Lepisosteus oculatus: one gene and its partners. The protein of the gene in region 1 purifies or fractionates together with the protein of each later gene. This does not show direct contact. Links are inferred from orthologs where the notes say so. Each region holds a gene or a part of one and is shown on either strand. Other genes may lie near its edges.

The links.
Region 2: the proteins of scap (region 1) and srebf2 purify together in Homo sapiens (affinity purification with western blotting; 3 studies listed by BioGRID and IntAct, with this or other methods). This does not show direct contact. The link is inferred for Lepisosteus oculatus from reciprocal best matches to the Homo sapiens genes SCAP and SREBF2.
Region 3: the proteins of scap (region 1) and srebf1 purify together in Homo sapiens (affinity purification with western blotting; 4 studies listed by BioGRID and IntAct, with this or other methods). This does not show direct contact. The link is inferred for Lepisosteus oculatus from reciprocal best matches to the Homo sapiens genes SCAP and SREBF1.

Annotation. Positions count from the first base shown.
Region 1 is NC_090705.1:19,914,016-19,922,222, reverse strand, and holds the start of scap (sterol regulatory element-binding protein cleavage-activating protein), read left to right. Parts: upstream 1-2,862; 5' UTR 2,863-2,939; coding exon 2,940-3,025; intron 3,026-3,872; coding exon 3,873-4,067; intron 4,068-5,994; coding exon 5,995-6,115; intron 6,116-6,358; coding exon 6,359-6,516; intron 6,517-7,246; coding exon 7,247-7,467; intron 7,468-8,207. UniProt on the Homo sapiens protein: Escort protein required for cholesterol as well as lipid homeostasis.
Region 2 is NC_090707.1:38,963,461-38,971,667, forward strand, and holds the start of srebf2 (sterol regulatory element-binding protein 2), read left to right. Parts: upstream 1-3,026; 5' UTR 3,027-3,247; coding exon 3,248-3,335; intron 3,336-5,900; coding exon 5,901-6,473; intron 6,474-7,093; coding exon 7,094-7,266; intron 7,267-7,357; coding exon 7,358-7,510; intron 7,511-7,640; coding exon 7,641-7,916; intron 7,917-8,207. Other genes in the region: uncharacterized protein, read left to right, coding at 1-1,274.
Region 3 is NC_090714.1:17,555,576-17,563,782, reverse strand, and holds the start of srebf1 (sterol regulatory element-binding protein 1), read left to right. Parts: upstream 1-2,534; 5' UTR 2,535-2,787; coding exon 2,788-2,893; intron 2,894-3,870; exon of another isoform or gene 3,871-4,000; coding exon of another isoform or gene 4,001-4,019; intron 4,020-5,518; coding exon 5,519-6,016; intron 6,017-7,130; coding exon 7,131-7,306; intron 7,307-7,504; coding exon 7,505-7,654; intron 7,655-7,951; coding exon 7,952-8,170; intron 8,171-8,207.

The DNA of each region.
Region 1 (8,207 bases):
CTGTAGGACAGTTAAAAGGATAGCCCTCAGGAGCTGAGCTGTAGAGTTCAGGCTCTGCAGAGCTCACGTTGTCCATGCAGTAGCAGCAGCACCGCAAGTTCTCCACACCTGTCTCTCTGGAAGACCTGGAGCCAGTTGAAAGTTAAAAATGAATTAGTTGCTCCTGCCGTTGAGGATCAACATAAATAATTAAGAGTCGGTAGGAGCACAATGCTGCAATGAAATAGAGCCGAGCTGCTGCCTGTGCCCGCCCCAGCCCCCGGGGAGTTTGGTCTGTGTGAACAGGTCCTGTTCTAGTGGGATTTCGCAAACGCTGACTCCAAAGTCCTTGGCAGCGGGATATATTTGCTCCTTGCAGTTTGCCACTTTCTCCGGAGAGACTGTCTAAAAATATTGCATCACAGTGTTTCCAAATGTTCTCGTCCCCAGCAGGCTTTTAGAGAATGTGTGCAGAGCACTGCTAGGCCTCAGCAGTCCGTGTACATACCCGTGTGGCCAAACTGTGGGTATGGGAGTGTTAGTGTGCACTAGAGTATTTGACACATGGGCTAATCACCACTTACTGCTATCTTTAATACATTTTCAGTGTATGAAATACACTGTATTGCTGCCTTTTCTGGTCTTTTTCCACTTGTGTTATTTCTCTTTCTTTTCCTTTGTCCTAGAAGTACTATACTGCATGTCTTGGATGGATCTAAATAGTCCGGGCTTACTGCTTTCATACACACACCTGACAGCAAGCATACAGTACGTTAGAGACGCACCAATTTGCACCTCAGCTGGGGATTACAGTTCCCCTTTCTGAGAGATTGCACTCTGTGTGAGCTTTTACTAAGCTGTGGCTGCCCTAAGAGTGTTAATTAATGATTCTGTTGATTTAAAAATATTTCAAATACGGGGACATCAGGAGCCTGCAGTAGTTCTGACCTGTAAATGTGTGAGACTGTAACAGGGGTGAGAGGTCAGTGATCTTGGTGCAGGTTAAAGGTAAACGCAGTGTGTGCAGTTATTAACAGTGCAGTAGAGCTTTGCATGCATTTGCCTCTTATTTATGGGTTGTTCAATAATATATCTGCTATTGAAGTGCTTTGAAAATGAAGCCTTGTTAAATTAATAAGGGTGGAAAAGCCTAAAGTTAGCTGTCACATCCCCTGTGTCATTGGATGACACTCTTCCAATATGGATACATAAAGAAACAGTATAGTTACAGACCTTGTCCTGGAGACAGAGAGCCCCAAAGGTTGGAAACTTTAAAGTTGTGACTCTTCGTTCCGTACCTGAATTTTGTAAGCCATACATTTGTATACCATATTTGCACACACCACACTGTATTTAATTTTTTTTAATTGTTAAAAAATGAGAATGTTAACCTTATATACTGTATTATACTGTTCTTAATGTAACATTGTTTTGTTAAATTGGGACTCTCTGACATCTGAATTCCAATGGGTGATAAATGCATAAAAGCCACATCATGTTGCAATTTGTGCATTGGATGGCCATCTGCAGGACCTCCCTCTGCATCTGCTCTGTAATAGTATGCAGCTTCATTAAAGCCACACTAAAAACTGTTCCCATACTTGAAGTAAGAGTAACACCTGTTCTGGTTCTGCCATGCTGAATGAGTCGTGTGACTGTTGTTGTCAGATAATTAAAAAATACATGTCATATTTTGAATCACGATATATTGTACTACAAAAAAAATCATTTCACCTCATTTTTCGGGTGATGGGTATGTTGTTGTTGAGACAGGCTCAAAGTCTTTTTCACATGAGTCTCCATTTTTCACAGTTACGTTTTATGTTATTACTTGTGAAGGACTGCAGACATGCCTGTGAGAACCCGACACTCCAGATCACACTTGTTGTGATATACCAGTTCTCAAATTGTTGTCAGGAGCAGTTAAAAATATAGGCATTAGCCGCTTGTAATTAAAATGGGAAATTCTGATAAAAAGGGTTTGATAGCGTCATGCCAATCATTAGAATACTTCAAAATTAGGCGAATTGTTGGATTTTTATGGATACACTTGACACTGATGGCCAGGGCAGCATTTTCACAATGAATTCTGATATTACTGATACAGTTTTGGGGCGGCACAGTGGTCAGCATTGCAGCCTTGCAGTGTTGGGGCCCTGTGTTCCATTCCAGACCTGGGGAGCTATCAGCTTGGAGTTTAGACATCCTCCACACATCCGTGTGGGTTTTCTCCCACAGTCCAAAAACACACTGGTTGGTTTAATTGGCTTCCAGGAAATTTGGCCCTGGTGTGAGTGTGTTTGTGTCTGTGTGTGCTATGCGATGGGCTGGCATCATGTCCAGGGTGTATCCTGTCTTGTACCCCGTTGCTGGTAAGGATAGGCTCCGGCTCTCCTGCTGGGATGGAGGGATACAGTCCTCTTAGTTGAAATGAGAAGGAAGAGGCTTCTCCGGTTCTCGGTTCTTTGGTCGGGGCCGGGCAGAGGGATCGGACTGGCTGGAGGGGGTCCGCCCCGGTATGAGGGCAGCAGTGTCCTCTCCCCAGTGGGGCAGTGCAAGAGAGAAACTGGAGGGCAGCAGGGCACTGACTCTGAGCTCTGGTCTGAACTCTCTTCTGCAGATTGCAGTGGGTGTTCACATTTGTCCTTTTTCCACCAAACCTCTTGCCACATCTGTCTCCAGAGGTGCCAGCGGCAAAGCTTGTGGCTGTCACAGACCTGGGTTGTGGGGCGCTGCGTAAAAGAAGTGTTTGTAGTGCCGTCAGCTGTGCTGAGACGCCTCCTTTAGCTGCCCGGCATTTGTGCTGCTTTGCGCTGGTAAGTGGAGTGTACAGTATTAGCTTTGTTCATGCCGTGAGCACTGTGTTGTGAAATCCCATCAGGAATGTGAGCCGGGTTGCAGGGCTGTGCGGAGCGGAGAGCAGGGAGGGTCATTGTACAGCGGGGCTCGCGGCTTCAACAATGGAGCACTGTCTGCGGCTTTGGACCGAAAAACCTAATAGTTGGAGGAATTTAAAAGGCAGGATAAAAGCTGCTATAAAAAACAAGTAAGTAGAAGCTGCTATAAGCCTTTCCCTGAGGTGCCCTAATGATGCGTTTTCTGCAGATGTCGAGGTCTTCAAAACAGATAGACAGGGAGGAACACTGGGGGCTTCGCTGTCACCCCCGGCACCTGGGAGCAGTGGAAAAGGAAGCAGCTCTTGAAAAAGGCAGCTAGACAATTTGATCCTGACCTGAGTCGTAATGCCTGCGATCAAAACGAAGATAATATTATTTGGGATCTTTCTTGGGAGAGCAGTGTGGGCATTCCCGGGATGCCATGCTTCTCAGAGCTGTGGCTTTGAATGCATGTGTGCATTGCATGCAAGATAGAGACGTCTAATGTTAGTCTCTGAATCACAGCTTTGCTGTCATTCTCAGGCCTGTCCACAGGTGCTGAATGCTCCTACTGGCCTATACTGGGAAGTAGCAAGGGGGACACGGACTAGAAATAAGACAGCTCTCCTTAGTTGCCAAAAGGCCAACCCAGAAGGATTTCATAGGTTTCTATAAAATGATCAAGCACCATACACCTGGAACTATGGTGTAGTTGGGTGATTTGAAAGAACAGTTTGCTCAATTAGCTGAGAGCTCAGATGGAGTGAAAATTGTAAGGCTCAGTTGGCTCTTGAGGACTTAAATTGAGTAGCACTGGTGCAGTTGTAACATGTGCCGAATCATGAGTTAAGGTCCAGGCGATGTGTGTACTTGGCCTGGGGTTGTACTTGTGCACTGTGCTGGGGTTAGCATACCTGGAGCACAGTGCCCGTGTCGGGGAGGGTAATGTGTACAGTACAGTAAGGACATCTTCGCCCACTGCTCTGCTTCACTAACCCTGTTTTTGTTTGTTCCCAGGTCCCTGAATGCCCCCCGGACCCCTGCTCTCTGCCCCACGGCGCCCCCCAATGGCTCTCAGCTGACCCCCAGGATGACTGTGAGTGAGCGGCTACAGAAGCGCATCTCCGCTGCATTCTACCGGCATGGGTTGCTTTGTGCATCGTACCCAGTACCCATCATCCTCTTCACCGCGGTCTCCATCCTGGCCTGCTGGTGAGTATCGCGGGGCAGCCAGACCCCGAAAAAGACACAGAGGGAAGGATGTAAGAGAAAGGAGGAAGATCAATGTATTTCATTGAAAGAGGGAAAGTATGTCTGTCAATGCTAGCTATCCTTTCTTTCCACTTATATCAAGAAATTATTGTGGGAGTATGGGACAAGTCACCCAACCATGTGGTTGATGCCGATACGCTGAATGAGATCCTTGGATCAATTAAGTACTAACTACCAATTGGGCTAGATGGGCCTAATGTCTTCCTCTTGTTTATAACTGTACTTATGTTCTTAAAAAGCATATATCTTATATATATATTGAAACATCAACATTTATTATTGCTGCTGCTTTTAAGATGAACAGTAATACCCTAATAATATCTGTATTTCCCTACAGAGAGTGTGAGGGGCCATAAGACTGGATGTGATTCAGTTGTTAGTTTGCCAGTCATTGGTGATGTTGCAGCAACAGAATTAGTGGTGCTATTCAGGGCTTTGCTGCTATCTTTAGTCAAGTGGGGCTGAAGACAACATTTCCAAACCCTGTCTGCAGCCTCACACTGAGAGAGCCAGGCATCGTCTTTTTCCAGCCAGCCAAACTCCCAGTAGATTTAAGCACATCCTCAATGCAGTTTAATTACACAGCTTTCAACAGCAGATCTTTGAGTATACACTGCCTTTCAAAAGCATTTTCTGCTTCCAATGATGTCCTGTTTTGATGAATTACAAATTATATACGCACATTATTTTTTGTGCTACTACAGATTACAACAAAATCATCCAACCTCAACAGTTTTTTGTTAACTTCTTTCCCGGCTGCTTAATTTGGAGGCACAGTCTGATGTAGGCAGTGTCTGGGTGGTACACTACAGATTCCAATTGTTATATGATTGACTTCACCATGCTGAAAGGCTGTACAGTGTCTTTGAAATATTTTTATACCCTTCTTCTGATCTATGCCTTTCTACAACTGTTTCCCTGAGTTGTTTTGAAACCTGCTTGGTCTTCATGGTTAAATGTTTGCTTGAAAATCACTACCTGACTGAACGGCCTTACAAAGACGGGTACATATATGACATCATATAATTGCAGTCTTACCACACACAGATAGGGGGACACTCAGATAATTGTGTGACATGTCACAGTAATTTTATATACCTGATCTAATTTAGGTTGGCCTTAGCAAAGGTGGTGTATTATTATACAACATATTTATCTTTTTATTTCCCAGATATAGGCGATTAATATATATATATAAGTATTAGTTCTACCAGTAACTACAGTCTAAAGTAATGTCAAATCAAAAGATTGAAGAAAATCAAATGTACTTGTTCATCTGTCTTTAAACTGCAAACACAATGATAAGGATAATAATGATGAAGACAGACTTTAAGGGCTTTCTCTAGCCCTAGCTCTGCCTCAACAGCATGCTAACTGAGAACTCCATTAGAACATCTTTTTTCAAATCATTAAAAACCTGCCTAATGTAGAAACATCATTACAGAAGATGAATCTATAGAGCTTTTAGATGATCAGCTAGCTACAGTAGGATAGGGTTAGCTTTCCGACACTAGAGTTTCTTTTTTTCTTTCACTCATACAAGCCTTCAAAAGTGCCAAGTGAACAATATTCACATGGGGGAAAAAATGTGTGTACAGTACATCATTTGGAATTGATCCGAATGGAACATCATCGGAAGGAGGTGAATACTTTCGCAAGGCACTGTGTGTTTTTTTGAGTTGACACTGAAAGGACATATTAGTTACTGAAATTATTAGGCTTTCCTGCATTTCTTCATCACTGTCGCAAGGACCGTTGTTCATCTGGGCCCAACATCCATCTGATAAATTAAAATTAATAATACCACGATAATCCCAAACACAAAATTCTGTCAGTCTGGTAACCAATTGATTGCTCTTGCCGACAGCTACCCCTTGCTCAAGTTGCCTTTGCCTGGAACAGGGCCGGTGGAGTTCACCACAGGGGTGCGAGATTATACCACACCACCCTCCGAGCCTCAAGGAGACCCTGGGGACCTGCCTGACTGGGTAAGATCCTGTGGGTTGAGGGTCAGGGTCAGTGTGCTCCTGATTTGTGTCTGTTCTAGACTCACTGTCTCTCTCCTATGCTTTGTTCTGTTATGTTGCTGCTGTAACACAATATCGTGTGCACTGTATGTTACTGTTGCTGTGTGTTCAACTGTCTCTCTCTGTACTGTTCTTCGTAAGCCTCCCTTCTTCTTGATCAAGCTCTATATAATGTAACCTCTGTCTCTATTATGTGGTTTGCAGTACTGCAGTCCCCCTGTAGCCTACATCCAGCAGGTCTTGGTGAAAGCTGCAGTGGTTCCCTGGGACAGTCGACTGGTCCCTGTTGATGCTTTCCGCTCCCCGCTGGCCCAAGTCTTCACTCTGCTGGAGGAGATTCGCAATCATGTGCACAGAGACAGGTACCACCGCATCCCAGTAAGGCACTGTGCACAAAGACAGGTACCACCGCATCCCAGTAAGGCACTGTGCACAGGGACAGGTACCACTGCATCCCACTAACACTGCACACAGCCAAGTTCCTTTGTATTCCACTAATGTACTGTGCACAAAGACAGGTACCACTGTACCCCAAAAACACACTACACAGCCACTTACCACTGTACCCCAGTAACACACTGTACCCCACTAATGTACAGTCGGGTACTGTACACTGTACCCCACTAACATGCGGTGCACAGCCAGGTACAACTGTATCACACTAACTCACTGCGCACAGACAAGTACCACTGTGCTCCCTTAACACGCTGCGCACAGACAAGTACCACTGTGCTTCTTTAACACGCTGCGCACAGACAAGTACCACTGTGCTTCTTTAACACGCTGCGCACAGACAAGTACCACTGTGCTCCTTTAACACGCTGCGCACAGACAAGTACCACTGTGCTCCCTTAACACGCTGCGCACAGACAAGTACCACTGTGCTCCCTTAACACGCTGCGCACAGACAAGTACCACTGTGCTCCCTTAACACACTGCGCACAGACAGGCACCAATGTAACAAACTAACACACAGTACACAGAGTCAATTAACACTTATTCCCAGGCTTCCTGGCCCAGTTTTCTTATATCTCTATAGCTTTCAACAGTCTCTGTATCTCTATCTCCCTCTCTTGCTCTTTCTGGGTGTAGTTCTGGCGTTCGCAGCCTGGAGTCGCTGTGTCTCCAAGTGACAGACTTGTTGCCGGGGTTGCGACGGATGCAGACGGTTCTTCCAGAGCACGGCTGCTTGCTCGTATCCCCCGGTAACTACTGGCAGAACCAGCGGGAGCGCTTTGACTCGGATCCGGACATTTTGCGAACTGTCCATCAACATGAACCCAAGGGCCTACACACATCAGCCACACTAAGAGGTATGGAAAAGGGAGGGAGCTTAAGAGAATGCTTCAGTCTGACTTCTTTTGAACAGCAGCATTTATTTTAAACCCTAGTTATTAATTATTCAAGGCTAACATGTTAACCTTTTTCACAGTATTATAGAGAGATATATCTGAATGTTACACCTGATCTGCTTTTTGGCCTACGTCTTACCTCTGTAGTATGAAGTAATAAATTATTATTTGACTAGGTAATATTGGATTACATAGAGGGTTTACAGGTTAAGTGGTAGTATGTGATATTCTAGTTCAATGAAAAACAGAAGAAATGTTTTGGAAATGTTGCTGCTAGGATCATCACAAAGCAAAGTTATTAGAATATTTGACACCCATTGCAGATTAAAATGAACCTTTAATCTTTAAATATAAAGTTGGCAAGAGTTACAAAGACGTTATCTTCATTCTGGGATCTGTATCATGTAGAATTCGACACCTGATCCACATGTTGGATGTACATCTTATCTTCGCAACATAACAGCTAACAGTTGCTTTACAGATCTAGGAACGTGGTTATATAGCCTGTGTGTGGGGTCGCTATCTGTCTATGACCTGATAATGATAGGCACACCTATTTCTGACCATTTAAATGCACTTGAAGTTTCTTGTCAGAAATGTGTTGTATCCCCGTGATGTTGAAATGATGTTATAACCCTGTCTGATATTTATCTTGAATGTGAGATTAACCCGCTTCAGTTTTTGTGTCTGAGCAATGCATT
Region 2 (8,207 bases), on another chromosome or scaffold:
TGCTGGCCTGGTGCGGCGGCCGCCACCACGTCCTCGACAACAGGGCCCCCGGCGACCGGCGGCAGGTGCAGGGGCTGCTGGGAAAGGTGGAGGCCCTGGTGCGGGAGAACGGGGGCCGCTACTACAGCAGCCGCCTGTTCGAGGAGGCGGAGGCCGCCATCCGGGCGGAGCAGGACAGGATGCTCCGGGAGGGGGGGCGGGAGCCCGCCAGGAAGAGGAAGTGGGGGCGGGGGGCGGGGCCAGAGCCGGGGGGAGGCGGGGCGTTGGGCCGGGCCCCCAGGAGGAGGTTCCGGAGGGACGCGGAGCTGTCGGAGCTGGTTCTGGAGAGGATCCGGGCCCTGGTGGCGGCCGGGGCCGCGGGGGCGGTGGTGGGGGCGCTGTGCGGGGCCGCGGTGCCCCTGGCGGCGGCGGCGGGGGCCGCGGTGATGGGGAACGCCGCCGCCTTCGCGGCCGGGCAGGTGTGCGGGGTCCCGGCGGCCACCGCGGCAGGGAAGGCGGTGGGCGCCCTGGTGGCGGCGGCGGCCGGGAAGACGGCGGTGGCCGCGGGCGCCGCCACGGGGGTGGTGCTGGGGGGCTCAGTGGGGGCCCTGGCGGGGGCTGAGGCGCCGGGGCCTGCGCGGGCGGCAGTGCAGGCAGCAGGGGCGGTGGCGGAGCTGGGGGCAGCCGCAGTGGGCGTGGCGGCCGGGGTCGGGGGCGTGATGGGCGCTGGGGCTGCGCTGGCGGCTGCCAGTGCCGCTGGGGGGGCGCCAGCGCTGGCGGCAGCAGGAGTGGAGCCGGGGGGCGGGGCAGCGGGGCTACCATCAGGGGGTGTGGCCGCCACAGAGGCCACGGGGGCAGTGATGGCAGAAGGGGGAGGGGCAGCGGGGCTGGGGGCGGGGCTACCATCAGGGGGTGTGACCGCCGCACAGGCCACAGGGGCAGTGATGGCAGAAGGGGGAGGGGCAGCGGGGCTGGGGGCGGGGCTACCATCAGGGGGTGTGACCGCCGCACAGGCCACAGGGGCAACGATGGCGGCAGGGGGCGTCCAGGGCGAGACGGGCGCAGCCGGGATGGGGGCCCTGCAGACCGCAGGGGTGGCGGCGAAGATGCTGACCGCCGTGGCGGAGCTGGGCAAGGCGGCGGCGGGCATCGCGCTGGCTGGGGGGCTGACGTTCAGGCTGGTGAAGGAGAGAGTGAGGCCGGGCTCGCAGGCGTCCGACGGCCCCTACACGGAGAGGCAGTCCCTGGAGTTCCACCTGGACAGGAGCGGCCGGCCCGGGCGCGAGGATCAGTGAGAGGGCCGGAGGGTACGAAGCACCTGTCTCTCCACAACACCTCGGCTCCTGCCCCCTCTGCAAGCGCCGGGACTCCGCCTGGTTCCAGTTCGGGCTGATGAAGATCTGCGTCTACAGATTGGGCTTGAACTACAGACACCTGCCCCCTTTCCTCAGCTGTCGTTACAATAGAGCAGCTGCCCTTCAGCCAGCAGCCTGTCCGAGTGCTTTGCTCAGTAGATCTCTTTTTATTTGACTTTTACAAGCTAGTACTACCTTGCAGTGCCTGAACCAGCCTGCTCAGAGATGGCGGTGATTTATAAAAAATCGACACTGTGCCTTAAATTAAAACTTGCATGTTTTGTATCTGGCATTTTAAAGCGTTGGCAGACTTGCAAATAAAAGTATTTCTGGAGCATTCGTGGTGTCTTTCGTGGGCCAAGACTCAATCAGCAGGCCACTGCCCGTTGTCTGTGTTCTCCAGTCTTGAAACAGGACTGTAATACACGCACCAGAGGGGCCCAACAGCCCATCCAGCCTGTGTCCTAGACTGGTAAATGTAAGCTTTTAATTCATCCAGGTGGGGCTGCACATTGGTGGTGGTGGAGGGGATCCCCATTACCTGTAAAGCGCTTTGAGTGGAGTGTCCAGAAAAGCGCTATATAAGTGTAAGCAATTATTATTATTATCATCATCATCATCATCATCATCCCAGGATCTTATCCAGCTGCTTGATCCCCTTTGAAAGAAGCCTGGATATCAGCCTCAGTGCCGTGGCTGGTCAGCTTGTTCCATACTCCCACCCCCCTCTATGTAAAGAAGTGCCTCCCCTTCTCAGTTTTAAATGTGCTTCCAAACTTGCAATCATCTCTGGATCATGTTTCGCTGTTTACGTATGAGCGCTTTTCAGGAAAGTCAAAGAGCTGGACTCCCATGGGTACCGTTCGGCACAGAAACACGACACGCTGCATGTACAGGTGCAGCCAACACTGGGATATTCAAAGTGTCCTGTCTTTTCAATATACTGGTCTAATCCTCTGTCCTCCTTCAGGCTCCTGCGCAGATGTCTTACACACGATCAGAAGTCATACACATGTGCAGTATGTTTCTTAAGACAGCAGCAGCAATTCATTCAAATCTTGCACGGGTGTTGTCTGCGCTAGTGAAGACTGACACAGTGATTAGTACCGCTTAGTTCGGGCGAGAAGACACCAGACCAGTCAGTTCGGCATCTGTAATTCATGCACATCCGAGTCTGGAAACACCAAACTCACATCGGCTCCCGACACGGCTGAACGCCGGTCGTAGGAGCTGCTGACCCGTTGCATTTACCAGTTCAACGAGCTGAAAGAAAACAAGGACTTTTTTTATTTTAAGGTTTAAATGTAGACTAACAGGGCCAGATCATTAAAAGATCCCTGGAGACGGGAAACTATTGACTGGCGGAATGAATTACATAACACAAATAAATAAAAAACCCCGTGGTTAGCCGAATGACAGAACTTAAATATTAAATGTCATTCATGAACAACCGCGGAGGAGTTCCCTCATGCAGAAGGCAGAGCGAGCCGCCCGGAAGCCGCTCATGGAGAATCGGCGCTCGGGCCGCGCCCACCGCCCCGGGGGAGGCGGGGCCAATGCAAAGCAGCCGAAAGCGTCTGATCGCTGACGTACTATCAGACCACGGCGGCCGGAGCCCGCCGATTGGCTGGGGGGGCCTGGTCTCATGACAACAACAGCCGGGGATCCACCAATCGGAATCCCCGCTGGCGGCCTTCCACTGTTTGTAAATGACGTCACCGCGGCAGCCAAGATGGCCACCTAGGGGTTTGTGGATGGTGCTCAGCCCTCTGACAGCTCTCGCGTCCCGGCCGAAGGCGCTCTTGTAGCCCGCCTTGTTCTGTTCGAAAGCGGATCGCACGCTTTGACACCCGCCGGGGACGGTAGACCTAGCCGATCGTGGGGGGGTGTCCCAGCCCCGTCCTGCCCAGACGATGGAGGGAGAGTTCTTGCCGGCGGTCGACAGTATGGACCCGACTCTCTCCGAACTCGGGGATGACTTCTCCCTGGGCTACATCGACGGTGAGTCGGTCTCGCCGAGCCGCCGACCTCCGCAGGAAGACAGAGCCCCGTGTCCGTCCGTCCGTCCGTCCGTCCGTGTGTGCGTAACCTTAACCCGGTACCGGTCCGGTCTGCCACGGATCTGAGCCCCGATGGGTACCGGGCAGTACAGTCCGAGACCGTCTCACCTGAGCGGAGCCCTCTCTCCTGGGCTTGCTTCCAGTTGTGATGAAACACGAATTGTTCTCTCTAGTGAGTGGCTTGGATTATTGCTAATGATCTGGTAGCGCCGGGATGCTCTAATGTGGTGTAGGTGTTATTTTTAGGCGAGTATTTAAGGAGCTGTTTAAAGACCGCTTCCCTGCCTCATTCTGCATCCCGTGTGTGTGTGTGTGTGTGTGTGTAAAGTGTGAAGTTTGTCTTTCGGTGTTGAGCTGTTTGTGTCGTGTGTGTTGTAAGCGTGGAGTTTGTCGAGTCTGTCTGAATTGCTATCCAATGTGAAATTTGTGTTGCGTGTAGGTGTGTGAATCGCGTTTGTTTCGAGTGTGTTTGTAATCATGGAGTTTGTGTTGTGTCTGTGTGAACTGCTGTTTAATATGGAGTTTGAATTGAATGTGAGTGTAGGTGGGGGTTGTGTGTGTGTGAGTGTGGAGTGTATGTTGTGTGAGAACACAGCAGTGCTGTGCTCAGTGATGGGGTGAGCAGTGTGCAGTGTTCAGGCCCAGTGTGTGTGTGTTGTGTGTGAACACAGGGAGATTGCTGTGACTCGAGAGCAGTGCTGTGCTCAGTGATGGGGTGAGCAGTGTGCAGTGTTCAGGCCCAGTGTGTGAGTGTTGTGTGTGAACACAGGGAGATTGCTGTGACTCGAGAGCAGTGCTGTGCTCAGTGATGGGGTGAGCAGTGTGCAGTGTTCAGGCCCAGTGTGTGAGTGTTGTGTGTGAACACAGGGAGATTGCTGTGACTCGAGAGCAGTGCTGTGCTCAGTGATGGGGTGAGCAGTGTGCAGTGTTCAGGCCCAGTGTGTGTGTGTGTGTGTTGTGTGTGAACACAGGGAGATTGCTGTGACTCGAGAGCAGTGCTGTGCTCAGTGATGGGGTGAGCAGTGTGCAGTGTTCAGGCCCAGTGTGTGAGTGTTGTGTGTGAACACAGGGAGATTGCTGTGACTCGAGAGCAGTGCTGTGCTCAGTGATGGGGTGAGCAGTGAGCAGTGTCCAGGCCCAGCGCCTGCTCATCAGCGTGTGTCCTGCCGGAGACAGTCGGGGCGCCGTGCTGGGCTGCACTCAGATGTTTCTGTGAACACGTAGCTGCATTCCAGCCGTGCAGCGAACAGGCTGGGCAGCGTCATCAGCGCTTGTCCACTCTCGGACGTCCGCATCAGTGAGCGGACATCGCCCGGGATTGAACCGGTCTGCTGCACGGATCCCATCGGTCCCACCTGTGTGTCTGTGTCTTTCTCTCTCCGCGCACTGCGCCGCCTTGCTGGGTGTCAGTGAAGCCGCTTCCTGGAGGTCATATTAAATCCACAGACATGAAATGCAAAACTGAACTGCATTGCAAACCTGCACAGCCACATCCAGCTGAAGGACCCCTGGGCTCATGATGACCAGTACGAAGCCTCGCGGGAGGGAGAGCAGACCCAGCCCTCCTCTCTGCGAGGTCACTCAGCTGTCAGTGGCCCGCGGAGGTGGCGGGTTTGACAATCACACCTACGTCTGCCTGGGGGTAAAACCCGGACTGGCCTCCCGGATGGGCGCCAGGATTCGGGTACTGTGACGTGGGCTCCTGGGGGAGAGGAGGGGGTGGAGGCTGGCCCTGACCGTGCAGCGCTGTTTGAATCTGTGCCAGTGAGGCCTGTTGCAGCCCGGGCTGTGTTGACCTGCTGGGGACCCTGCTGTCCCAGTGTTGCCTCAGAACCTGCTGATGCTTCTTGTCCGTCTCTGATATCAGCCCCCGTGTTCTGATCTGAAGCTCTTGGCTGTCTGTGGCCTGTACCTGTCACACATTTGAGCCGTTTCATCGCCTGAAGCTCATTTCAGGTTGTTCAGGTCTCGCACAAACCCTAAGAACTGTCAGCCTGCAGGGTGAGCTGTGACCTCTGACCCTGTGCTGTAGGGTGTCGGTGAAGGTTGCTGTGAGCTGTGACCTCTGATCCTTTGCTGTTGGGTGTCTGTGAGAATTGCTGTGACCCCTGATCCTTTGCTGTTGGGTGTCTGTGAGAATTGCTGTGATCTCTGACCCTGTACTGTAGGGTGTCTGTGAAGAGCTCAGTGAGCTGTGACCTCTGACCCTGTGCTGTAGGGTGATTGTGAGAATTGCTGTGACCTCTGACCCTGTGCTGTAGGGTGTCTGTGAAGAGCTCAGTGAGCTGTGACCTCTGACCCTGTGCTCAGTTCTGCAGGACAGACGACCTGCTGGGGTGCCGCAGCTCCATGCGATACGCGACAGGGTGGCCTGTTTCAGGCCTCCTCCGAGCAGCGAGCAGATGACCAAGTCGGTTCTTGACGCGGAGCTGTGGGGCTCCAGACACGTCGTGACGCACTGACCCGCCGCCCTCCTCACCTCTCTGTGTCCCCTCTCTCTCCGCAGAGATGCTCCAGTTCGTGAGTAACCAGGTGGGCGATTTCTCTGACCTGTTCGAGGACCAGCTGGGCGGCAGCCTGCAGACTGGGGGTTCGGGGGTTCCTTACCAGCAGCAGCAGCCCCCACCACAGCAGCAGCCCCCCGGCACCAACCCCACCCCCCAGCCCAGCCCGGTCTATCAGGGCGGGCCGGCGGTGCCCCTGTCCCAGCTGCCCCCCTCCCTGCACCAGTCCCTCCCTCTCACGCCTCCCCAGACCCCCGTGCAGGCTGTCCAGCAGGGCTCCCCGCCTCTGACTGTGGCCCCGGCCCCGGCCCCGGCCCCGCTCCGCAGCGCCCCCTTGCTGCAGCCCAGGCCGCAGCAGGTGCAGGCGCCGCCGCCGCCCATCGCGGTGTCGGTCCAGACCCAGACCCTGACCGTGCAGACCCAGTCGGTCCCCATCTACACCCAGGGGCTCCCCGTGCAGACGCAGGCTCCCACCCAGACCGTGATGTTCACCCCCACTCTGACCAGCTCGTCCCAGTCGCGGATCGTCCAGCACCCCGTCATCTACCACCAGAGCCCCATGAGTGGATTCCAAGGTGAGGACTCGGCTCGGCTCGGCTCGGCTCGGCCTCGCGTGCCCTCCTTGCTCCTGGGGCGCCCCCTGCTGGCGGTGTCGCTGTCCTTCGCTCGGTGCGCTGGGCACAGGCATCGTCCTCTTCAGGCAGACAAGTCCAGTGTGAACGAAACAGCGCTGTGGGGGTCCCGATGCCCCAGTATACTGTCCTTCAGATGAGACGTCAAACCGAGGTCCTGACTCTCTGTGGTCATTCACAATCCCAGGGCGTTCCTCGACAAGAGTAGGGGTGTAACCCCGGTGTCCTGGCCAAATCTCCCCCTGGCCTTTACCAGTCATGGCCTCCTAATAACCCCCCTCTCTGAACTGGCTCCATCCCTCTGCTCTCCTCCCCACTGAGAGCTGGTGTGTGGGGAGAGGACTGGAGCATCATGCAGGTGGGGGTACACACTGGTGAGGGTGGAGGGGATCCCCAGTACTTGTCCAGCTCTGTGAGTGGCGTGTGCAGGAGAGCGCTGTAGAAGTGTGAGGATATTACTACGGATTGAGCGCAGGTGTAGAGGAGAGCCCAGCGCAGTTTGTGTCCGCTGCCCTGCAGCGAGTGCCCTGCCTCACTAACCTCCCCCCCCACGTTGCCCCCAGTCCTCCAGCCGCAGGTGCAGAGCATCGTCACCTCGTCGCAGGTCCAGCCCATGGCCATCCAGCACCAGAGAGTGCTGACGCAGGCAGGCCCGCAGACCATCCAGACCCTGGCCACGGCGCCCTCCACTGTGCAGGCGGTCTCGCAGCAGGTCCAGCAGGTCCAGCAGGTCCCGGTCAGTACCTCCACAGGGGAGAGGGGGAGGCCAGGGGGCGTTCGTGTCGTCGGTGTGGGCGCTGTTAACGCCGTGACGTGCCCTCTCTCAGGTGCTGGTGCACCAGCCGCAGATAATCAAGACGGACTCCCTGGTTCTGACCACGCTGAAGCCCGACGGGTCCCAGGTGCTGTCCGCGGTGCCGAACCCGGCCGGGATCACCACGCTCACCACCCCGATCCAGACCCATGCCCTGCAGGTCCCGGTAAGTGCAGGCGGGAGGCGCGGACTCCTCTGCTTCTCTAGGGGTTCCTCTGGGCTCCCTGTTAGGGCCTCCCTTGGCGTCACGTGACAGCGCTTCACTCCCTGCCTTTCTCCCCTTCCCCCTCTCTCAGACTCTGGTGGGCGGCAACATCCTGACCACGGTGCCCGTGATGATGGGCGGGGACAAGGTGCCCATCAAGCAGCTGTCGTCCGGCGGGTCGCCGGGCGGGGGCGGGGCCCGGGCGGGGCCGGGGGCGGAGATGGGCGGGGCCGGGGGCGGGCCTGGGACGGGGTTGAAGGAAGGGGAGAGGAGGACCACCCACAACATCATCGAGAAGCGGTACCGCTCCTCCATCAACGACAAGATCATCGAGCTGAAGGACCTGGTCATGGGCAACGATGCCAAGGTGAGGGGGGGCGGAGAGGCCTGCCAGCCTGGGGGGTGTAGCGTAGCGCAGTGAGCTAAGGCTGATGGAGATGGCACTGGTATAGGGGATCACAGACTGGGGTGTTAGGATACAGGGCAGCAGAGAGTGGAGTGTTGTAATAGGCCACACACTGGAGCTGGGGTTATAGAGGCTACAGAATGGGGTACCTGGCATTAATAATGAGCAGGATTGGGTTATTGGGGTAAGATAGGGTAGGTAATTGCAACTGGAGTGATACAGGGAAGGGTGTGAGAGGAGGGGGTATTTGGG
Region 3 (8,207 bases), on another chromosome or scaffold:
TGTGCTGATTTTGTTTAATGCACCTAATGATGTTCTGTGTAACTGAAAACAGTTCTGTGCCTGACGTCAGGGGGTAGAATCTTGGAAGTGAAAGTGGCTGGATGAAGGTCTTGACTCACCTGAAGGTGTCAGGTGCATTCTGGAAGCTGTTCTGCCTGCTTCCTGAGTTCTGCACCTGAGCTTACCCTTAGGGCAGCAGGGACCCAGAGAGAACAGTCTTGTCATGTGTGTGTAATGGCCTGTCCTTACTGCTGCTGTTACCGAAGTTTCGCGCTGTGCTGTACGAACTCTTGCATGTGTTAAACTCCAATAAAACACTACCAGTGTGATCTGTACATTCCGGTCTCTGTTGTTCTTGCTTGGAAATACTGTACCTGTGTAAGTGTAGGCTGGTGTTCCAATTACTGCATAACCTGAAGAACACATTTCCTATCACAATTCTAGGAATCTGAAACCTTAAAATAACTGTGAACCCATAAAATAGTGCCAATTAAATGTTAAATGTAAACTTTTATGTAAAACATCACAACTGACATTATATTGTACAGTAGAATTAGTACTTGAACAACCACAGCAAAATCTTTCAGCTTTAATTTGTGTTGAAATAGCTTAAATATTTATTAGGAATAAAGAACAGAAGGATTACTGAAAAACTTAGAAACTAAAAATGCAAACTGATCCTGGCCTTAATATTGCCTGACTATTGCATAGCTGCTTAGGTAGGAAGCTTTAACCCTTGTATGCTAACTTGGGTGAAGGAAGATCTTTTTTTACGTCCTTTTAAAACTTAGTTTTAATGAATCTTTGGAAAATGAGCCACTTAACCCTTGCAGAATTGCCAAATGTCCCTCTGAAAAAAACTTACATCTCAACCCAAATAAAAACGTCAGTGTGATCCCTGTAAAGCGAATTCCATTGCTGTTCCTCCTCTGATGAACTTGGTCAACACCAGTTAATAAAGCTTTGCTCCGTTAGGAAGAGGAGGACATTTCGAAAGGGTGGTCAGCATCGCTGCCCCACAGCTCTGGGCCCCCGCGTTCAATTCCAGACCCAAGGTGCTGTCTGTGTGGAGTCTGCATGTTCTCCCCGTGTTTGCATGAGTTTCCTCTAACAAACACTTTAAAACTTATTTAGAGCTGCCCTCCTTGTATTGAAAGTAAAAGTCTCCATACTCACTAAGACAAACAGCAAATATTTTTTTTTTGCAATCGATCTGTTCTGGGGAGTCCTTTCCTAGCGGGTGTTAAACCTCCTGTGCTAAAAGTTACCCCCCGGAAAAACTGGAAAACGAGCTGCGCCCGTCCAGCAAGGATTACGTGATGTAATCGCAGAGCCACAGCTGTGACGTCAGATCACCCCACACTGTGCGCCGCTTTTCATTGGTCGGGGCCGCTGGTTCTACAGGCGGGGCCGCCTCTGCGACTCCAACAAACTTGACTGCGCGCAGTCCCGCCTGCGGCCGCTCCCCATTGGCTGGCGGGGACACGCCCACAGGGGCTCGCCTGTGCGGCAGCCGCCGCTTGTGTCTCTGGGAAGCTGCTCCGCTCGCTGGCTGTGTGCTCATGGCCTGTTCAGGATGCGGCTTCGGTTAGCATGAATATCACCTGTCCACGTGGAAGTTGAGTCCATAGTTCTTAGTACACTCTGGGACCGTGCTGCCCTGCGACTGCCTGACCCGAGCAAATGAAGACTTTTATCACTGATTGTGAGCGAACAGATATTTTTTTTTGTAGTACATTTTAAAGGTACACAAACATAGCAGGGGTTTGATAAAAGGCTTAAACAATATATAATAATATCTGTAATTACATTAGTTTTATTGCTGATTAAGAATAGCTTTTGCCACAAGGCGTGCCAGATTAAAAACCCACTTCTTCCATACAAGGCAGAGACCCTATCCCACATGGCAGCCTGGTGCCGAGCTCAAGAATAGAGCCGCACTGCTGTTGGGCCCTGGGGCAGAGCTGGTTATCACACAGTCACCAAACTGAGCTGCTGATGCAGGAGACTCACTAAACCCTGACTAAACCCCCTCAGGCACTGCAGTGTGATCCAGCACACAGACCCTGCTCAGTGACTCCCACTCTGTTCCTGCAACAGGTCTCTCAGGCCGCTCCTGCCCTGAGCTCACCACAGTCATCAATGACCCACCCCCTGAGCCTCAGGGTCCCGGGCGAGCGGGAGAGGAGAGCCCAGCCATCACACTGCACTCCCAGGGGAAGGGCCGGGCAGCTGCGAGTGAGAGAGGTCAGAGGGTGTCTGTAGAAGCAGAAAAACTATGAAAAGGCAGAAAGCAGAATAAAATGAGGTACCAGATCTGTAAAGAAATATTCCCAGTTATTATGCATGAGGCTGGACCGGTGAGAAGAGATACAGCTGTTTTTCGGGGGGGCAGGTGAGAAACACACCCCCCTCTCCTGGCCAGACCGCACATGGCCGCTGTTCTGCCGCTGATTGGCCGGGAGCGCCGTCAGTCCGCGGTCGTCACGGAGCTGCGGGGCGGTGCGTCTGGGGCTTCCCAGCCAGCAGGCTAGGGTGTCGCTCCGCTCAGTGTTTGGACAAGTTTACCGTGAGCGCTCAGCATGGAGGAGCAGGAGAGCAGCGAGTAGACAGACGCATCAGTCACAAAGTTTGATTTCACTCTTTACTGCCGTCTCTGGGGGGCTCCCCCCCCCCCTCCAGACGGGACTTTTCTGTGTTTATTTTTTATGTTGTATTTTAATGGAAACTTCCACGTGATAACTCGGGATAACTGCGAATACACTTGTTAAAAAGAAACAACCGAAAATGAGCGGCCTGCCCTTTGACGACCCGTCGCTGGACCACCTGGACCCCAGCCTGTCTCTTCATGAGCCCAGTGAGATCGACACCGCGCTGCTCAGCGACATCGACGGTAAGCCCGCAGGCGTGCGGACCCGAGCCGGACCCGAGCCGGACCCCGGCTGCAGCCTCGCACGACTGTCAGTGCCGGGACTGCTGCTCGGGCACCGCGCCTGTCCTGTCGGCGCAGCTGTGGTCAGTCTGGCTGGCAGTGGGGTCCGCAGCGACATGTCCCCCTGCGCGCACAGCAGCCCAGAGACCCCCCTCTGCCTCGGGCCGTGGGGCGCTTTCGGACAGACGAGCTCAGGGCCCGCGGGGTGCCGGGCGCAGGGAGGCGGGTTATTGGGGTATCTCAGTGCGGGGGTCCAGCCCCCCAAAGCGTCCGGAGCAGGGCTGCTCTCTGCTCTCGAGCGCCCCGCCCCCCCCTGGCTGCTGCGCGTGGCGTCACGCGGGGGTTACTCTCGTGCATTCCCCCGCCCGGAGTTCACCCGCGTGTTTCTCTCACCCAGGGCCGGGGGAGACACTGAACGATTTGCACCGCTTTCATTACAAAGCCGCGGTCTCCCGGGGGGGGCTTCCTGCAGGGGCCGGTCATCGAGCCTGCAGGGGGGACCCTGTCCGCTGAACACGGCCCGGGGCACGCTCCCGCGGTGTTCAGGAGACCGCCTTTCTTAAACGATTCCTTCTCGGTCCCGCTGTCGCGTTACAGGGCGATTGTTCTTATTCTCCCCCTGGTGACGCGACCTGCGTGGGAGAAGCTGCTTCGTCGCCGTGTTTCTGTCGGGGGGTGTGCATGACCGCGAGTAACCCCGCCGCCTGAGCAGACGCACACGCTGCCCGATAGTAACCCCGGTCGTTCACCCTGCAGCCCGGGACACCGTGGGCTCAGACACGCTGGCTCTCTCGCCGTGTCCCGGGGGCAGGCCCGCATAGCCAGGCGCCCAGCCCGCGTCCCATTGGCTGCGAGCGATCACCTCATACCAAAACACGGCTCGCACCGCCCGGCCCCCCGCGGGCGTGAGGGAGGCGTGTCCGACGGGAGCTGTGCTCCTCTGTGGGCTTGACGGCCCGGCCCGTGCGGGGAGGACGTTCAGCTCCCTCTGGACACGGGGATGCGCGCAGCTCTTGAGGAGTTTGTGATTTCGCAGCTGAGCAGACAGCTTTCACACTGGCTGGCAGTATGGACTGCACTTTAGAAGGTAAATGTTAATGTTCCTGTGGCTCTCTGTCTGTTTCCAGCGCACCTGTGTGCTGCATCTCGCGGTCTCTTGCTGGAATTAGCTTGTTCTTGGGAAGCCTCTGTGTGGACAGACGTATGTCATCTTTCCTTCACACCTACAATACTGGCTGAAAGACGGTGCTGTGTCCTGGACAGCACCAGCACTTTTGCTGAGCTTGGAAACTGCAGTGAACCCAGTCGTACACGAGACTCCGTAGCTGTTGTGATCCGTTTCGTGGTTTTCCAGCTGCAGGGTCAGGTATGACCTGATAAGAGGTGTGCTGGGCCTTTCAGAGTGTAGCTCCAGCAGGGAGCTGTGCCAGCATGCGCAGGCTGCAAAGGAACAGGTAAGGGTTTATTCCAGGCTGAGAGGACAGAGCAGAAACACAACGTTTCGTCAGGCGTGTGGCTCCACAGCCAAACGTTGTGTCTCTTTTCCTTTCAGTGCGGAATAAACCTTTACCCGTTCCTTTCAGGCGGTATTTGCTGAAGTGACAAGTGGCAGCCTCCCGGTTCCTGATGACCTGCGGCACATGAAGCCGAAGTCTCTGGGCTGCTGTGTGCAGGAGGTTTCTGTCGTGAGCTCACTGGCTGTCTGCTGTTCCTGCTCATGCTAGAACACTGTTCGGGTACTCTTTGGAGCTGAATGCTGCCTGAAGCCATTCTATGTTTGTAAATAAGAGCTGCTGTTCTTGCTGAACGTGTTCGGTACTTGAATTAGCTCAGGCAGGGGTCCTGCCCTGATCCTGGGCTCTAGCAGTTGCCCTAAATCACCTGTGTCCTAAAGGTCAGCGACACTAGGAGAGCCATCGATCCAATAAGCAGAGTGCTCTGTGATGTTTGATGCAGAGGATGTTGAAATACCTGAGCGAATCACCTGCTCAGGCAGTCAGTGAAGTGAAGCTGATCTTGCCAGTGTTGGGGCAGACCTGGGTGGGACCAGGCCGGCGCCGGAGGTGCGGAGGAGCCGAGAGAGACTCCTGTCTGCAGAGCGGCACTGGGCCCCTGCTGTCCGGGCTGGTGGTGCACCACCCGTTAACCGTTCAGACTAAACTCGCAGCTAATCAGATTAGTCATTCGCGCAGTTGCCCTGTGAAAGTGGCGCCATCGCGTTCATCACGGTGACCAGACTGGCCGCAGGGCTCTGCCTTAACGAGCTCTGTTATCACCCCTGTAGCTTGTTAGTGGTGTTGTAAAGACACCCAGGGTGCACAGTCAAAAGGTTCCAGTGCCATTAAAATAGCCATCTTCAGATTGGAGAGCAAGATTAAAAAAAAAAAATTCCACAGTATGAAATTGTTCCTCTGATGTGGAGTTGAGAGGAGCTTGTCTGGAGGCAGGGGGTCCGAGGGTCTGCCAATGTTTCGCGTTCTGATCGATCAGTTTGCTCCTGCTCTGTCTGTCTCGCCCCCCGAGCCGGTGACGCTGACCGCTGACCGCTGACATCTGACCTCTGACCTCTGACCTCTCTCTTTGCAGACATGCTGCAGCTCATCAACAGCCAGGACATGGAGTTCCCCGGCCTGTTCGACCATCCCCCTTTCGGCGCGGGGGGTCCCCTGCAGGACACCCCTGTCCTCGCCCCCTCCTCCTCCTCCTCTTCCTCTCTGCTGGGCCCGGGCAGCACCCCGCACCTCGACGCCTTGCTGGGACCTCCCGCCAAGCAGCCCCCCCCTTCTGCGGCGAAGCTGTACCCGCCCCCGTCCCAGCAGCCTCAGCTGGCCGCCCCCTTCGCCCAGAGCAGTCTTCCGGCCCCGCCAGCGCCCCCGCCTGCGCCTCTGCAGGACAGCAAGCCCCCCACCCCGCAGCCCTCGCCCCCCCCAAAACAGCAGCAGCAGCAGCAGCCTCTACAGCCCCAGACCCAGGCAGCGGCGCCCCCTCCGTCTGCCGTGAGGACCCCGAGTCTCGGCTCCAGCCAGCCGGTGCTCTTCAGCTCGCCACCCGCCCCAGGCTACCAGAGTCCGGCCGGGTATGCAGGTACGGCCCCTCCCTTGTGGCTCGGGGTGCAGGGGGGTGGGGTGGGGTGGGGGTCGTTCGCAATGGCTCCGAGGAGGGGGACGGCGCTGCACTAAAAGACAGCTGTTTGGTTTGATCTCGGTTGTGAGAAATGTCGGGGCTCTTCAGGAAGAGGGTCAGTAAGGTGCCCACCAGTGAGGCCTTCCCCTCTGATCCGCTGTCTTGCCAGTCTTTCTGCATCAGCCTCTTGCTCAGCAAACCCCCAGATTCAGGACTGACTGCTGGTGTCGGTGGTGAGGTCCTGACCGGGACGTGGGCGCCTGGTTCACCCCTGTAGAGCAGCATCTCCCACTGAGATTTCTCTCTGATTCTTCAACTACCAGTGTTTGCACCATTCTTCAAACAGGGCCTCGGTGCTGAACTGTTTTCAGAGGATAAAGTGGCTGTAAATACTCTTTGTTCAGGATCTCCGCTGTCGAAGCGAAAGTTATCTGTCCCTAAGTTCCTCTGTGCCCTGACCTGCCGGACCCTTGAGCTTCAGAAGCTGAAGGTTGAAGCCCTTGAGAAAAATAACAAGGACACGAACGAAAATGAACACAGACAAGAAAACCTGCCTGGTTATCCTGGGTCAAAGTGAATTCTGTAAAGACCCGATAAGGAGCTGTCTAGACAGCGTGTGTTGAGTAACAGCCTGTTGCGTTCGGCTCGTTGTGTAATCACTGTGCAACACGAGAGGGAGGGGTGAGAGCCGTTCATGCCCTTTGTTGACTGTGTCGGTAGCTCAGTGCTCAGTATCTCACTATCTGCTGAGCACTGAGGAGATAAGCAGCCTGGACGTCTCGTGAACACCTCTGGCAGCTTTGAGATTTATTGTCGGGCAAATTATTTTTCCAGCTCAGTTTGGTCCAAACATCTGATGCACAGAGGAGGTACGTCTTGCTGAACGTTGGTTTTTTTTTGGTCAGTTAACTTTAAAATACGTTTTTTTTTTTTGAGAAAATGATGTCCGGTTTCTGAGATGTAATCCTGTGTCGTTTCTGGTGCGGTTCGGTCTAGTTGCGATCGCCAGTTGGGTGCTGTTGTGTGCAGGCCCGGCGGCGCCCCCTAGCTGTAACCTGCTGTCTTTACTCTGCAGCCGGGCCGCAGGCGTGCTCCACCCAGCCCAGCCTCCCCGCCTCCCCCCAGCAGATCCAGCCAATGGCCATCCAGACTCAGGTCCAGAGCCTGCCCGCTCCGCAGCTATTGGCCGCCACCGCGAGCCCGCCCACGCAGACCATCTCCCACCAGGTGCACCAGGTCCCGGTCAGCACGGTGCGTGTCTCTGGGTCTCGGAGTGTCCTACCTGCCTGCACAGGGGGAAGCGGCAAGACTTTCTGTCTCCCATCCTGGGCCGATAGGGTGATGGTGATCTGGGTAGGGGGGGCCTCTGCGGGTGAGAGGGGTGCAGGTTAGGTCAGACCTGTTCTCGGGGCCCTGCTGGTCCGATCGTGTCTTGCTCTTCGTCCCCAGGTCCTGCTGCAGCCCCAGTTCATCAAGGCGGACTCTCTGCTGCTGACAGCCCTGAAGCCGGACGCTGGCTCGGTGGTCACAGCAGTGAAGACCCCCTGCATGACCACTCTGGCCAGCTCCACCACGCCTGTGCAGACCACCTCCATACAGGTGAGCCCCCCCCTCCCCTGCCACACAGGTGTCGCTGCACATGCCGTTGATTAAAGGCAGTGCTGTACCTGGTCTTTATTTCCCTCTGAGAGCTGCATAAAAACCACCTGTGTTTTCGTGTTCGTGTGGGGTCGTCTCAGGGCTTGTGTTCATTGTTTCTTCATTTCGCCGCTCTGGCAGTCGCTGGGGGAGGCTGTGAGCCCGTCTGTCCACCCCGGCGCTGGGTCAGCCAGCCCGTGCCCGCCGGCGGGCAGTCCAGCGCGCAGTGGCCTCACGCTCCGACTCTCCCTCTGCCAGGCTCTGGTGAGCGGCGGCACCATCCTGACCACCGTGCCAGTGATGCTGGACACCGACAAGCTCCCCATCAACCGCATCGTGGCCAACGGCAAGCCCTGCGGCCTGCCCAGCAAGGGCGAGAAGCGGACGGCGCACAACGCCATCGAGAAGCGCTACCGCTCCTCCATCAACGACAAGATCATCGAGCTCAAGGACCTGGTGGCTGGAACAGAGGCCAAGGTGCGTGTTTCCAGTCAGACACCCGGAGACGCAGTTC